Astyanax mexicanus: one gene and its partner. The protein of the gene in region 2 binds, or shares a complex with, the protein of the main gene of each other region. Links are inferred from orthologs where the notes say so. Each region holds a gene or a part of one and is shown on either strand. Other genes may lie near its edges.

Region 1 (8,264 bases), on a different chromosome or scaffold from region 2:
CTTCCTCTTCTCATCCTCCCCAGCAACCAATCATCTGCGTGTTTGTGTGGGATTCTCCTCTAGGGTGATATAGGGAGCAGAGTAAGGAGGCACTAGGCAGGTGTGCTGTGACAGGCTGTGTGTATGTTAAAGGAGGTTCATTTCTGTAGGGAGTACGGATGTGGCGTATACGCGTCTGTGTGCGCTGGGCAGTGTGATTTATGAGCTTCCATTAATAGAACCCAGTGTGTTTTGCCCATTAGATGCTAATTGAGAAACACTCAAGCCCACAGTCTGCAATTGTGCTGCAATATACGCAAAAAATACCCCACTGTTCTCCCTGCATCTCATTACATGCGTCCGCATGTGCAATTACATGTGTTTTTGTAAAGAAGCGTATAACTGTAGTACTGTATGTGCAGAGATATCGTACGCCTGTTCTCCCTCCCACTTCCATTATATCACTGTCTAATACACAACTCCCTCCACCCCCCCTTTTCCTTACTCTCGTCTCTTGTTCTCTCAGAGTAGAGTGTGGCCTTGCTTTATATTCGCGCCTCACTTAACAGACAATGCAGCATATGTAAATAGGGGCAAACAATGAGTGGACAGAAACAATGCGAGTTTTCGCTCCTCTCAGTGTAATTAGCTCCCCGGCCGTATTGTGGGGCTGCAGCTGCTCTATATATCTGCATTTCACACTAATTTAGCCTGTTTGGCCGGCCTGAGCATGACAGCATCCAGCCCTAATGCATGTGTGTACGTCCAGAACCCAGAGCTGCATTGCTGCTCACACAGCCGTTAATTGACAGCAGCGATTTACGCTCCTCCTCCGGAGCCCAGCTCCAATTTGAGCACGAGACTATGAGACACCGCCTACCAATAATGACACCAAACCAGCCAGTGACATACAGTGATGTGAAAAAAAGTTTTTGCCCCCCAAATGCTTTTGTTTGTTTTCTGCATGTTTTTCACGCTTAAATGCTTTAGACCACCGAACTAATGTAAATATTAGTCAAAGACAACACTTTATTTTACATAACACAAATTAGCTTATTAATGTCTTATCATTTGCTTAATAAAGCCTTAATTAGACATTTGTAAATGATTTATGAATGAATGAATGAAGTTCAACTTATATAGTGCCTTTCTAGAAACCCAAGAACACACCGGTGAGAAGCGGCAGCCAATAGCGCACAGCGTACTCTCAACCGGAAACCATCCACCGTCCACCTGGAGGACTGCATCGGGCACTACAGCATTGAGCCAGGACAGAGTGCCAATTTATATCTGGGCACAGTCATTGTGATGTGGCAAGGTAGCCCATTACCATTTATTAAATGTACTTATGTAATGTACCTCAGTCCTGCTGTGTAGAGGGTCTGAGGGGCAAAAGGGAAGAAAAGGGGACCGGTGCTTCTTCTTCTGGTAGGACGGATCCACCTGCAGGAAGGGAGAGGTTGCGGACATTCTTGTTTGCCTGTAAAAGGAAAATAATTAATTAATGTTTGTGTAAAAAAAAATAGTGATCACTTACCTGTTTAGTCATCATCTGTGAAAATGTTAAATAGCGCTATTTGTGTAATTGTTTTTGTTCGTTTTATGTTTTACGTTTAATGGGTAGCCTCCCCTTAAGGGCTTTGTTGGTATGATCGGGGTGGGGCTTAATGTGAAAATGCCGGCTGGGGTGCTCGGTTCTAAGAAAACTCTCCCGGGGTACGAAAGCTCTGTCTGGTGTCATTATACTGCGTCTGCTAGCCACTTAAGGAGGATTGGCCTTGCGGCTTCCCTCATGTAAATATTTGTGTATATACTTACCGTTTTCTTTCGTTTGTATCAGTTTTTGTTTGTGTTTTTGGTGTAAAGAATTAATAAATCACCGTGCACTTGGAAATCTGACTCTTATCTCCTGTTCCACAGCACACTCGGGGTTCTGGTCATTTGCTTCACGTAAATCCCCAAAAAAAACTTTTAAGTGGGCGAACATCTTTACAGTCATACATACATTTACACACACACACAAACTTACATACATACCACACACTTTACACATACACACCAGATCAATTTAGAGTATTCAATTTACCAGATCAAATTAGAGTATTCTATTTTTCTGGGCAATTTAGAATATCCAATTTACATGATCTCCATGGTTTTGGACTATAAGAGGAAACTGGAGTCCCCGGAGGAAGCCCACACAGACACAGGAAGAACATGGGAACTCCACCCAGATAGGGATTTGAACCCAGGACCACAGTGCTGGGAGGCGAACGTGCTAACCACTAAGCCACCCTGCCGCCACTGCTTATTAGGCTTTATTCTGTGTAAGTGTTAAAAACAGCTGAATAAATATTTAATCAATCAATCAATCCCCTTCACTACCTACACAGTAGTCCTATATGCACAACCCAGGACTACATACTGTACATGCAGACCATGGTGACGGGTTTTTATCGCGTATTTTCTGTGGTAACCTTTATCTTCCAGAAGAATAGCTTTGCTAACTGAGACTTATTTCTGGGTGCAACTATTTTAGAGCCTGACGGATTCCTATATAGTCCAAAATCACACCTTGTCTCCTCAGGAATTAATTAATCACAAATTCCTTAACACACCAGCACAATCTATACATGGTTAGAAAGAGGAGAACATACAGTTTCTAGAAATAGTAGCATCATCGCCATTTCATGAAGAGTCTGTGAGAAATCCTTTGTGAAACACCCAGAAAATAGACATTCCTTCAAAGTACAGGGACTATCCCTTCAAAGTTTGAAATAATGATGAATATGGTGGAGGTTCAAATATGTGTTTGAGTTGTTTTTTTCTACCTCTGGCATTGAAGATTGCCAAGGGATTTTGGGTAACTATGGATTGTAGGGCCCAGTGTCAGGAAGCTGAGTTTGCATCCTTGCTCATGGGTCTTCCATCAGGACAATGACCCAACAAATAGGCACTCCTTTAAATTCAGGACTATTCCTTCAAAGTTCAGGGACTGTCTCTTCAAGTTAAATCTCATTTTAATCGTATATAACAGTGATTCAGGGCATATCTTTACAAAGCAGAACCCACCATTTCTGAAAGTAGTGTGTTCTTATCTGATAAAGCATCTGTAAGAAATCCATTGTGAAAAATGTTTAAAAACAGGTGCTCCTCTTGATCAAAACATGGTAAAATTCACACAGGTATTTAAATTCTGTAGATATTTACATCTTAACAATTAAATATATATTTGAGTAGTCAATATCAGTGCAAACTGTCAACATGTGAATAAAATAAGGCATGAAAAGTCTAGGATCTCCTGAAAATAACAATTGCTGACTCTATAGTGTTGCTTTTGTAAACATTACTTAATATAAGATATGAGAAAGAAGTGCCAATTTTTTCCAATAATCAACAAAGATAAGAAGAAAATAGCAACAGTTTTCACAGACAGCTAGAAAAATATATGGTAAATACAACAACTACAACTTCTGCGTAGAGACCCAACCAATTAGTTAACTGCATGTAATGATGCAACATCAAGCCTCCATAAGTTTCAAATGAAAAAAAAAGCAGATTTTGTTGCTATGGAAAAAAAGATTGACTTTCTCACCCTCTCACCCTTATATTCACGGCCTCAATGTTAAAACTGCTTTAGCGTCCTTTAGCGTCAAAATTCTGCTGCTTACATGGCTGTAATTTGTAACTTGCCTTTTATTTGATTTATTTTGTAGTGAATAAAACAACAACTCAAAAACAGCAGCTGTAATAGACAAAAAACACTTGTCACAAACAGATCAGTTTTGGCGGTATGGTTTTCTCTTAAGAGTGCTTAAGGGTTCTCCAGATAATCATTGCTTTCTCATCTCCTGAATTAATTTAAACGGCAGAAAATAACAATATCTGAAATGTTTGACTGTCTTCTATAAATAGTTCATAATAGTTAAAATAAAAGAGAGGGTAACATTCAAAATATATATTTTTTACGCTGGGGCCCAAACGGTTTTAATGATGTGTGTGAAAATACATACACATAGAGAGCGAGAGACAGAGAGAGAGAGAGAGGGAGAGAGAGAGAGAGAGAGAGAGAGAGAGAGAGAGAGAGAGAGAGAGAAAGAATCGAGGATCTCCCCCAGTAGATGTCAGTAGAACGCTCGGTCCACCAGATCACCAGTCTGAAAATCTCAAAACCGCATTCGGCTCTACAAGTACTCTGTTCACACTATGGTAATAAAAATAGCTTAATCGCGATTCAAGATGTTTAAATAGACCTCTGTGGAGTTTTGGGTTGATTGAGAACTGGTTTAACTGGTTTGTGTTTGATTACAGAGTTGATGTTGGTGCGCTGTTCAGTTTTGGTGGTGCTGAATGAATGTTTTTTTTACTCTTTCTTGTTTCCAGCGGTTAAACAAACCTATCAGCATGCGCGCCGCGTTTCGTTCTTTCGTTTTCGCGACATGCTGAGCCGAAATCATTTTAATCCCGCTGCCAGTCCCGCAGCTCTGGATGATGATAGTGGTGATGGTGATGATGATGCTTCACTATTGATTCGCTGCTTGAGCGCCTGTGCGCGCGCTGTCCGCGGTGCTGAAACCCATGTAACAGTTATTTAAAAAGGGGCAGCAGCGGCACAGGGCCGAACAGCGGCAGCTGCTTCTTCAGGTTGCACGAGCTGCTCCGGGGTTGGTACTGGAAGCTACAGGGGTGTGCGGCTCGCTGTTATGAGATAAGCACTTCAAACGTGCGTCCAACAGGAGCCGCAGGGAGCGCTTTCCAGCCTGTTGCCGCTCCCTCAGGGCTGAAGGTCGAGGCTCTTCAGATTATTAGATGTGAAGATGTGATTTAGAGCAGGTGATTGCGCCTCGGTGCTGGAAGAAAAAAAAATCTTTGGCAGGGGCTTTGCTTGCTCTCTCGTGAGCCTGAGTGTTCCCCTCCTTTACCCTCCCCTTTTTTCTCCTCTCCACCTCCTCCTCTCTCTCTTTCTCTCACTCACTCCGTATGCGCGCGTGTCTTTCTCTCTCTCACACCCTATTTCCACCCGCGAGCGCACCGGCGCATCAGATGCGCTCAGCCTTTTCCGCCGCGCAGCCGCTCGAGCAACATGTCCTCAGACGTGCAGCTGCGTGACCGCGCGGAGCCACCGACCAGCGGCCACAACCACGCCGAGAAAGCCGCGGAGCGCACGAGGAGCCACAGAGTCTGAAAGAGAGAGAGAGAGAGAGAAAAATAAAGAAGAGAAAGAGAACAAGAGAGCACGTAGGTCCCTATTCATTTTCTGTGCACTTTTGCGCTTGTTCATTATGTGTTGTACGTTTTTTTTATTATGTGCATACTTTTTATTCTATTGCGTTGCTAAAAGATCTGTATCAAAAACAAAAGTGAAGTGTGAAAAGAAGTGCAAGAGTTAAAGATAAAATACTTAAGCGATAAAAAAAGACTCATTCCTTTCTTTCTATTTTTTTGTCGATCATATCATGGTGCTGATTACGACGAAGATATGTATAGCAAGAATCTACGTTTTCTCAAAAAATAGACAGAAAAAAAACAAAAAAAACAAGGGAATTACAACACGCGCATTTAAAGAGAGCTGCAAGCCTTCATAACTTTGGTAGATGTTCTGTGTAGAGACCCAAGCAACGTTTATTGCATGTAATGATGCAACATCAAGTTTCCATATGCTCATTTTTGTTTTCGCGAATTGCACAGAAAGCGGACTTTGGATGATTGGATAAACAGTTTAATCGTTCACCGTCCTTGTTCAAAAGTGCGTTGGGCAACTAGTGTGATATGATCTTATCTTCTTATAGTGCATTTACCAGTGTATAGCCGCCGCTTTCTGTTGTTTTAATGCACTCTATATATCTCTATGTATGTGGTGAGAACCTTTAAGAGTCCGGTGCGCACGGAACTGCATGCGTCCAAAAAACGGACCAAGCGAAAGGCATGAAGGTTAAACCCTTAAAAGCTGTCGCACACTTTTGTGCACTTTAGTACAACAAATTCTGCTGTTCACGTGGCTGTATTTGTAGGTTGTTTTTTTAATCGAGTCCTTTTGTGGAATTTTGTGGAATAAAACAACAACAACCCAAAACATCAGCTGTATTAGTGAAAAATACAGAATTTTTTTTAAAGCTGTGTCGTTTTGGTTGTATGGTTATCTCACACTTAAGCTTAATACAGCAAGATTGCTTTAAGCTATTTAAGGGTTTAATAATGCTCCTCCAGTCAATCATCGCGTTCTCATCTCCTGAGTTAATTTAAACGGTAGAAAGCTGCTCCCCCGCTGCCCTATCTCACTTAACCTTGTGCGCCGCGCTCTGGAGCAACGCGTTTTTAATGTGCACTATACGAAGCGCTCGCAGCTCACAGATAGAGCCTCGTTATTTAAGCAGATGAGGCTCACCGCTCTCCATTCTGCCTGCAAGTTACAAACGTGGAGCAAAAAAGTCTCCCGCAGACAATAAAAAGGTGCCCTTGGAAGCGCATCTGGAGGAGATAGATATTCATGATGCTTTGTATATTTTTGCATGAATGTGAGTGACCTCCAGAGAGTGTTGATCAGTAGTGCATTGTCAAATTCATATTGACTGAGAGATTTCAGCTTCATGTTTCTGAAGGTTCTGCTTTGGTGAAGGTTTATTGTGGAGCTCCAGGACCTTCTCACTGAAGTGTCTCAAACACTTGTTCAGTTAGCATGACGGCTGAGAAAGATGAGCTGAGATTGACTGGGACAAATTTATGGTTCAGTGTTAAGTGTTTTGTGTGTTTTAAGATTTGAGGGAAACGTGGGAAATAATATAAGTGCATAACAAAATAAAATGACTGATCAGAAAGTGTGTTGTGTGTTTGAGGATTTGAGGATATGTCTTATTAGCCCTATTTTGGCGGGAAACGTGGATATTGAAGGCAAAGAAAGACTGAGAAATGTAGAGTTCAGTGTTTTGTGTTTTTTTTATGACTATGTATTATCAATTTGCCTAATTTTGGCAAGAAAAGTGGATTAATACAAGTGGAAAATACAGAGGCTACGTAAGTGTACATGTAGGTGCTTGGTGAGGATGTATTTATCTCCTTGCGGGAACTTGTGTCTCTAGAATGGTGGAAAAAAGAGAACTCATTGGACTAATGTTCTTGAAGCTCAATAAATGCAATTTGCGGCCATATATATATATTTTGTTTGTATAATTATTATTTAAACTTAATAGTTTTTTGGAGCAAAGATGTTTGATGTACGAGGTTTGAGTTAGATAGACTAATGATAATGGTAGACTTATGGTAAAGCAGAGCAAAGACAGGAAAACAAACAAGGCTCCCGCGCGCGCGTGTATTTGGGCGTGTGTTTGTGTGTGTCTGTCCTGAACGTGCGCGCGCACATCAGCGTTCCAAAGAACAGCAAACAACATCACCTGGAGCTGCGTGAGCGTTTAGACGCAGATCGATTCTCCCGCAGTGTAAATGAGATATGAGCGCGTGCACGCGCGCGCTATGGGAGTCGTGACCCCGACCTCACCGGGGCTGTTCTGGCTGGCCCATATCCCACAGCGACCACCACGCGCCTCATTACGGTCAGTGGGAGGCAGGGTCAGCCTGTCAGCTCCTGGAGCTCGCGCCGCTAAATCGACTGACGCTGAGACGCCGAGTCCAGTCCGATCTGTCGATTTCGCCTCCTGGACTCTGTCTGAACACAAGTCCACTGCGAGGAACTGCCTGTGCTCCAGAGTGCTGCTCCTGCTTTTAGTACGTGTTGAGGACATACTTTGCCCCTACAGTGGAATGACCAACTTATGACTCATGATATTGATCATTTCACCAGAAAATAAGCGTTTTTAATTTCTGTAATCATCACTTCTGTATTTTGGATTCATATAACATATTATTTGTATATAATAGTGATTATTATTGCAAATGGTTACGACATACAACATGTATGTCTATTTTTCACTTCTTCTTAACTTAAGTAGAAGATGATGCTATCAAGGATGATGAATTGATCAATAGAAATGCTTCAAAAATGCACAAATAAGCTCTCTATAATCTCTCTATATCATACTCAGAATATTCTAAAGATTTTACCCCATAGGAGACACTGTATATAAGGTTTCAGCTTGGCATTGCTTATACACTGTATGTAAACTCAAGCCCTGATATTTTCCGAAAACAAGTATCTGTGTGTGAGGAGAGAGAGACTGATCAGGAAAGAAAGAGAGCAAGAGAAAGAGCGAGCACATCATTTCTGTAGTTTCATAGGATTCATATAACATATTAATATATAATAATATAATAATTATTATTGCAAATCATTGCAG
Region 2 (8,326 bases):
ATAGATGGGGCAAGATACATAGACGGACAGAGAAGCAGACAGGCAGACAGCCTGACAGACAGGTAGACAAACAGCGCGCCGGAAGGAAAATCCACTCCGTGCTTTTCTCGAACCGCTCCAATTCCGGAAAGTGCCGAGCGGAGCCGATCAGAGCCGAGCGTTGGCCTCTGCTGGGCGCTGTCCACCACCGACAGCGCCTGAAATCCTCACACTCAGTAAAGCGGCATAAAGCACAGGAGCAGCATCACACAACACACCCGAATCACAAACACACACACCAAACACCTAACACACATACACACACAGGGGGGAGCGCTGAAACACGGGTATAAAACGCCCCCGTTTGTCGCGGTCTAGAGGGATTCAGATCCGAGTGGAAAATGGTAGGTTTATCTTAACACTCGAGACTCGGGGCAGAGCGCTAAGCCGAGCCGCTATATCCGCACAATCACAGCACCCTAAACATCTACCAGCCAGACATCTGAACACAACGATACACTGCCGCGATCTGACCGTCCACCTTCCAGCTCACTGCGCTACACAGGATTTATAATGTGCACTGGACACGCCACGGTAATGCAGCAGCAGCACAGCATTAACAGGCCCGTATATGACAGAGAAAAAGAGCACGACTGGACGGCTCTTCTGTATATATAAAGAGCTGGGGGCTAGTGCACTGTACACGCACAAAACGCGATCTGTGCGGGGCTCAGTTTGGGTGTGATAGCTGCGTGAAAAATAAAAATGGCCGAGTGAACACCAAGTTAGGGTGTTAGCTAGCTACCATCCCCCTCCCACCTCCACCGCCCCCCAGCCTTGCCACCACCTCCCCACCCCCATTTCTCTCTGTGTGTGCATGATTCGCTCAAATCATAGCTAACGCTACATAACCCACAACCCACAATCACTAGAAGGCCTGCTGCTGTACGGTTCACCTTGAATATGGAAGCCAATCATAGCAACTATACATAGATAACGTTACACAGAATTATGATGAGGATCTTGTCAATTACATACCACAGTGAGTTCTGCTCCAATTAAACTAACGTTAAATGAGAGCAAAACTGTAATAATGCAATGTACAGTCAGAAAGGGCTTTAGGCTGTTGAATACACAAGCTAATGCATCAAAAATAGTAGTTAACCTAGCTAGGATAAATCTCAGCAATAGACTAGCTAGCAAGCTAACTAGCTAAGAAGCCTCTCTGTGTGATATCAGGCTACAGAACGAGGCACACGCACACACACCTACCCACCCTGTCTTTTACACAAAACGCAAAAAGCTTAAACATGACGAGAAAGGCATGGCCATATAGCTAATTAGCTAGCTAAAATGTACATCATTTAAATGAACTTCTAGCTAGTAAGCTAACTAGCTAGGTCAGCTAGGTTAGGTTAGCTAACCTAGCTAACCTATCTAGCTACCCACCCTGTATTTTACATAAAACGCAAAAAGCTTGAAAAGGAACAGAAAGACATGGCCATATAGCTAACCTAGTCAGCTAAAGTGTACAAATACTAGCTCCTAGCTAGTAGAATAGTTTAGCTAACCTAGCTAAGCTAGCGTTTGTACAGCAGAATGGTGTGGCCCCGAGATAATAATGTACAGGCTGCAGTAGTTACATAGTTAGCTAAAGGGATGGACAATTATTTAATATCAACATACATATAAAGAAAATGTGTCAATAATGGTGGTATGATGATTTTAAATAACTAGATTAGCTAGCTACATGTCTAGCATTTTAATATATAGGGTTAAGCTATCGTTGGATAATTTACTGCATCTGTCACTGACGTTCATTAACTACAGAAATAGGCAAATCCATTTTTCATGAGTTCACAGGTTCCATAGCTAGCTAACGTTACGTTTTATGTATTTGTTTTCTGTGGCTTTTAACTGCTTGTATAGACTGAAATGTTGTCACTCATTGAGACCAAAGACAAAAATTTGGCCATATCGCCCAACCCTAACTCTGTTGGTTACAGTGAGTGAGAGCGGCTCGGCTTCAGCACCATGTTATACCGAACAGCACGACCGACCGCAGCCAGGCAGGCGTTTCCTCCCCCCAAACCGAGCCGAGCAGGCGCGTCGATCGGTTAGCTAACTAGCTAGTTAACCTAGTACATACAGTGAATGTGTGACATTCTTCATAATATGGCGGACCTTAGCTAGCTAACCTAGGCAAGCTACTAAAAAATGTTTGCGTGCATGTAGGCTAGCTAACTAGCTTTTTTTTGCGTGACTGTGTGTGTATATGCTTGTGTGTGCGCGCGCATGCTCGCGTCCAAGACACACACACTTTAAAAACCGAGAAATCTGATTTACACCATGGCACTTACTTCATTTGTTTCACGATGGTGCTTTTACCAGACTCCCCAGCTCCTGTAAGACACAAGAGACAGGAGGGAATCAGGACTGTAGTTATATGGTAATATTATAAAAAAAAAAAAACATGAAATCAGGATAAATCCTAAAATTATAAACGTGTAGCCGCATATAGAGAACGATATGTAACTTAGCTAGGTGAGGTTAATTATGTTAACGTCAGATTGATCTCTGAGCAAAGACTAAAGATTAGAGACTAGGTCCACTCCCTCCCACCCTCCCACCCATCCATCCACCCAGTAAAGAGGGAGAAAAGAGAAGGTGCGTTAACCAGCCTTACCCAGCAGCAGCAGTTTGACATCCTTGGCCGCAGTGATTCCATCCTCTTTCAGGTTTTTCTCGATGGCTTTGCTCCTATCCAGAGCCGCTCTCTCTTCGGCGCTCAGTGTACATCCCATGACTAGGCGGACCGCAGGCTCTTTCTTTCAGCTCCGAAACCGGCGAGAAGCGACGTGCGAGGGGGGGAAGCGAGCGAGCACTCCGTGGTTTATTTTTTATTTCACCTCGAGATTTCTTCCCTATCTATCTCCTCTACCTTTCTCTCCTAGCGCTCTCTCTCTCTCTCTTTCTCTCTCTTTCTCTCCCTCTTTCTCTCTCTCTCACTCACACTCTCTCTTTCACTCGCTCACTCACAACGACGGCTCTAGCTATAGCATTAAAAGAAGCAGAAAAATCCCGCAAAACGACACGAAGACACGCAGCCTGGTGGAGATAACCTAACCTAGCTGTATAAGGAGCTGCTTCTGCTGCTGCTGTAGGTGAACCGGCTCGGCTCTCCGTCTCTCTTGGTCGTGTCGGTGGTTCCTCGGGCGGAGGGGGAGCGGTGGAGGGGAGGGGGTCTATCTATCTAGCTCTATCTGTCCTTTTCTACTGGGCGGCGGCGGCAGCAGCGGCGGTAGTGGCGGTGGAGGCGGAGGCGAAGACGGCGACGGCTGCTAGCATCGTTTAGCTCTGCTCACAATGGAGGGTCAGCGAGGAGAGAGAGAGAGCGCGCGAGCGAGAGAGCGAGCGGGAGCGCGCGCGCCGAGCACGTTAGTTACGTGTTTTTTTTTTGTTTTTTTTTTAACCTCCCCTTGCTTTTTCCCGCCCGTTTTCCGACAAGCCCCGCCTCCCCCGTGCTGTGATTGGACAGCGGTTTAAGCGTCGGGATTGGCTGGTCTTTCTTTCACACTAATATGTATAGCTGAGCCAGGCTTTGACATTTGCTTGTCAGAGCAGACAGCCAATCGTATAGCTCAGAAAACCGAGAAGAATAACCAATCAGAAAAAGGCAAAGGATAGAGCGAGAAAAATGAAAAACGAAAACAGGTGGGAAACGAAAAAACCGTATCCTCCACAGTGACGTCAGAACTGAAGAGCGAGCGCGAGCAGCATCCCCGTTCGTTAAATAAACGCTAAGCTAAAAATCCTGCACCAAGGTTTTCTTCTGTACAAAGATACAGAAGAAGAAAAAATTAGCCCCTCAAGCCCCACAGATTCGCAGTAAGGAGCATTGTGTTCACTAGCTGGTCACTAAATCAACGCGTTTGACCGATTTAGAGCGAAAGAGCGACTGAGAGGAAGAGAGGAATCACGACAAGGTGTGGCCAACAGCAGAGCTAATGCTAATGACCTGCAAAATCAACACACGAAACAAACAAATAAATAAATAAATCCGAGCAAAAGCGTCAAATTCAACAGCTGGCCATCTTGCCTTCGTCACATCCTCCCTCCACTCTCATGTGAGGCAGCGTTTAAATGTCAGCATGCTTTCTGAAATACAGACACTTCAGCTGTGGTGGTGAAAGTGAAACAGCTTATAGTAATAAAAGAACGAATATGTATGTATTATTTTACAGGACTCAGACACACAGTTTGCAGACAATTAGGTGAAGTTAGTTTAAAGGACCAATATGTAGTATTTGTATTTTCACCACTAACCCAATAAATTATATCTGTGGCATCACATGTTAAGGAAAAAATCCTTAAAGTTAAATCACTGGCCTATCTTTACAGCAGTGCTTTAGCTTGGTTCGATAATCTATTCTTTGCTGAATTGTCCAAGATAAAATTGAAATCTGTTTCTTTTTCTGATGCAGATATTATCTTATGTACAAGTGTTTACTCCTGTGGCTTTAAAACCCACAGACTTCTTTTCCATTTCAGCTGAAGCACCAAAACAACACAGTCTGTCTGTAGCTTTGCAGTACTGTTTTAAAAAATATCTGAATTTGTGTGGACAGGCCTTGTCTGTGGGGACTATTACTTGTACAAAGTCCTGCATATATTTGTCCAATATTTTAATTAAATCAAATTTAAAGTATTTCACACGTTTCACATCCACAATCTTGTTAAAACTCAGGCAAAACAGTGTCTCAGGCAAACATAGATTTTTTAGAGGTACACTTAAAATAGAGGGATGTAAAATCGACTGTAACCACTATATTAACCATCATTGCTTAATGTGTAGTTTGAGTGTTGTATGGGCATTTTCTTTATAACATTCATAAACTATTGCTAATAGTTTGTCTCATTTGCTATCTAGCTAAATTTTCTTTTTCAACATAAATGGTGCAACAGATGACAGGGGCTACAGCATTTAAGATGGAAATAGGGAAAGAAAAGCAAATAAAAACTAATTACAGGGGAAGGGGAGGAGTTACACTTAGAAACAGGGGCTAGGGGTACATATTAGAAATTGGATTGGGCCACAGTGTGCTGCTGCCTCTATGCAAGTAAAAATTGGCATAACGTTGGAAACTTTGGACACTTTAAGGGTTTACATTAGCAAATAAACTTACACAGTACAACTGATTTTGTTTGTTAATCGGGTGCATCTAAAAAAAATTATATAATCAAAAACTTAAACAAATTCAACAATTTAGAGCAGCACTTCATGCTTTCCTCCAATGACAAGCTTTATAGAGATGCAGCTTTCATTTCCCAACAGGACAAGAAAAGCTCAAATACCTCCAGGTCAGTTCCAACACCAAAGCTATTTTAATAAATGTTCACAATTGACAAAAAAAATCTGGGGTCAAATATAGTCCATAAATATAGCACTCTGCTAACTAGTAAACGCTTGCCCCTTAAATATCAGTCCCAAACACAAAATTGATCCTGACTCTCAGCACTACAGTAAGGTCTGTAAAGCCCCCAACAGTTTGACTGGCTCACAACAGCTTCAATTTGGTAGATTCTTCTACAGGTGACTCTACCTGCCCTTTAAACCTGTAGCCCCGCCTCTTCTCTAATTAGACCATACCAATGTTACAGGTAGGGGTAACTGTAAAGTATACACACATACATACATACACACACACACACACATATTAATGTCAGCATTATTTACAGCTGTACATACTTTAAGACATGTCTCTGAATGGTAAGCATTATCACATATTTTTTGTACCTTTAACTCTAACTTAAATCTTTTCATTCCCACAGGTGTTCCAGAAAGGAGTTCCCTCCCATCCTGTAGTAAATCCGGACCCCCGAAGAATCTTCAAGAACCGGAGCTAAATGGCCGCCATTTCCTTAGGAATCCCCAAGGATAACCAGATGCACCTGTAGCAAGGTTCTTACACCACAATCTGGGGAGGAGGCGGTGGGACAGACAGCTCCCTCCAATAAATTAAAATCAGCCTAAGGTACTTTTTTTTTTTTTTTTTTTTTTTTTTTTTTTAGCATTTTGCATGCTTGCTGTAGTTAAGTACATATTGTTCATTTAAATGTCAGCCTGCTTTTTGGAATCAAGCCAGTTCTGCAGTGTAGAAAGTGAAACATCTAAAAACATATCTGCAATGAATGTTTCACATGACCCAGTTACACAGTTTGCAGATAATGAGTGAAAGAAAGGTTAAAATAAACATTTGACACCCTGATTCAGAGCAAAAGCTGAATGCAGTTCAGAAGAATAGGAAACTTTGGTTAATCACCTCACATTACGCTGAACGTTTCACATTGTACTGGCCCTGACACCCACATTAAACACCTGACTGCTAACTGCTGACTGCTTATTAAGTTTTCAGGGCCTTTCTGGAGCGAGGTATTCCGTTTTTGCAAGACACTGCAATAAAAGTGATGAAATTACTAAAACGAAGATCATTATTTTTCTGTCGTTTGCAAACCTTGCTAAAAACATCAAAATGACTGATTGGTGAGGTTATTCGGTCCAGACAATGACAAACATTTGAATGCAATTAATAAAATGGATCCATATGAGTTGTCTCTGTGATCCAGCCTGGCTTCCTATGAATAAGAATAAACAGTACATCAGTGTTTTCCATTTCTGGACTTTAATAGATATTTAATAGAGCAGGATTTTTCTTTGTTTAGCCAGATAACTTAAGTTCAAAGTTAAGCCCAATAAGTTTGTACCCAGAATCTGCACAGCAGAGACCAAAGACGGTTCTAGACTCACCTCCTTAATTGTTAGATCCCCACACTTCTCACAGAACAGGTGTTCTAGGGCCAATTCCATTTTGCCCCTTCTCTCTACCAATTAGCCCAAAAAAATGCAAATACCTCACTTCAGTTCTTTGTCACCAAGAGCTTTAAAAAAGAGTGGATGAGAAAGAATAATTCTTCAGCATTCAGCTTCACCTCTCAAAATGTGTACAGGTTTGGGTGTTCTCAAATCGTCCCCTTAAGTATCACTTCATGATTAATGTACTTTATATACTGCTATCCCAATATTCTTTATATGCTTTTGGAATGTCAGGCATATACTTTTTATTTTAGACCAAAACAAGTATGTCAGCCAGTCAAGTATGTTACCACTCAAGACTTTTAATCTTCACTTTATATAAAAGTGAGGAATAAAGTGGTGGCCCAATCATTGGGAGATTTTGAGTACAGTCTCCTCTAAGTGTGATCAGCATTCCAATTACAATGTGTTAGCCATAGTTTGAGAATATGAACATTAATAGGCTGACTTCACGTGCCTTAGAGGAGGTGATGATAGCATCATGATAGAATCATGTGATCAGGAAAGTCCATGCTGGTGTAAAAACCTGACGATGATGAAATCTGGGGGAAAATCCGGGAGAAATCTCTTTACTCTGACTGAAAGTAGACAATGCAAAGGCATCCTGCACTGTACAAAACCATAGGCTTAAAAGTATGAATCTTATATTCACAGTAAAACCGCCAAAATAGGTTGTATGTCTTTGTGCTCATTTCTTTATGGCAATGAATAAATATATACTGTATGTTAAAAGCAGTATATTATGGGTCCAGATTGAGGCCTCAGTTAAATGGCGTTAAAATTAGCAGTTTTTTGAAAGAGGTGCATATTTGCCCTTTCCACAGAAATGCAGTAACAGTCTAAATTTATTTTAAAATAAAAGAAAATTATAGTATAACCTGCTGAGGCCTTTTAATTCCTTTATTTATTTCCCCTTCAAACACAGGAAGTGGTACATAATTTTTGTTTAAAGCTGACTGGTGGAAACCCCCAATTCTTTTTTAAAAAATCATGTGTTAGGCTACATGCTGAGCATGTTTACATACACTGAGGACAACTGCTTAGATGCTTAACAGATTTGGATACATAAAACTCTAAATTAGGCCAAAGGTTTGGAAGCAAACCTAGTCAGAGTGGAGAGGAGAGGGGAGTGTGTATATGTGTGTGTGAGATGATTGAATTTAGCAGTGGATCTCCACCCACGCTCCATTACAAAGCAGTCAGCCTGAGCTTGTACTTTGACAGATAATGCCCATCAGCATGCATCTAAACTGTGTACAGCACTTACACAAACACACACACACACAGTCCTGTGCATATTTAAATATTCCTCAAATTTCATAGCCTTCATATCCATCTGAAGTGCAGCTAAATAGGGAGACTACAGCCTGCAGCGTGCATTGTTTTTTAGACTGAAGTGAGTCTGACCGTGTTGAGCGAAGTCTTGAAGAAGTGTTCATTTGCCTCACTGGCATGGAGAAGAAGGCGCACAAA

What was found. Proteins that work in one complex are often made in the same cells at the same time.
Region 1: the proteins of gnao1a (region 2) and chrm2a are in contact, whole or in part, in a cryo-EM structure (PDB 7T8X), measured with the Homo sapiens proteins. The link is inferred for Astyanax mexicanus from reciprocal best matches to the Homo sapiens genes GNAO1 and CHRM2. Residues at the interface, in NP_066268.1 of Homo sapiens: Lys24, Ile28, Ala31, Lys32, Leu195, Tyr320, Asp337, Ala338, Thr340, Asp341, Ile343, Ala345, Asn347, Leu348, Gly350, Cys351, Gly352, Leu353, Tyr354; in NP_000730.1 of Homo sapiens: Asn58, Arg121, Cys124, Val125, Pro128, Leu129, Thr130, Pro132, Val133, Lys134, Thr136, Ile209, Ser213, Lys214, Ser215, Arg216, Ile217, Arg381, Lys384, Val385, Thr388, Ile389, Cys443.

What each region holds. Positions count from the first base shown.
Region 1 is NC_064409.1:45,373,542-45,381,805, forward strand, and holds the start of chrm2a (muscarinic acetylcholine receptor M2a), read left to right. Parts: upstream 1-4,890; 5' UTR 4,891-5,214; intron 5,215-8,264. UniProt on the Homo sapiens protein: The muscarinic acetylcholine receptor mediates various cellular responses, including inhibition of adenylate cyclase, breakdown of phosphoinositides and modulation of potassium channels through the action of G proteins.
Region 2 is NC_064416.1:26,264,223-26,272,548, reverse strand, and holds the start of gnao1a (guanine nucleotide binding protein (G protein), alpha activating activity polypeptide O, a), read right to left. Parts: upstream 3,303-8,326; 5' UTR 2,784-3,302; coding exon 2,666-2,783; intron 2,383-2,665; coding exon 2,340-2,382; intron 1-2,339. UniProt on the Homo sapiens protein: Guanine nucleotide-binding proteins (G proteins) function as transducers downstream of G protein-coupled receptors (GPCRs) in numerous signaling cascades.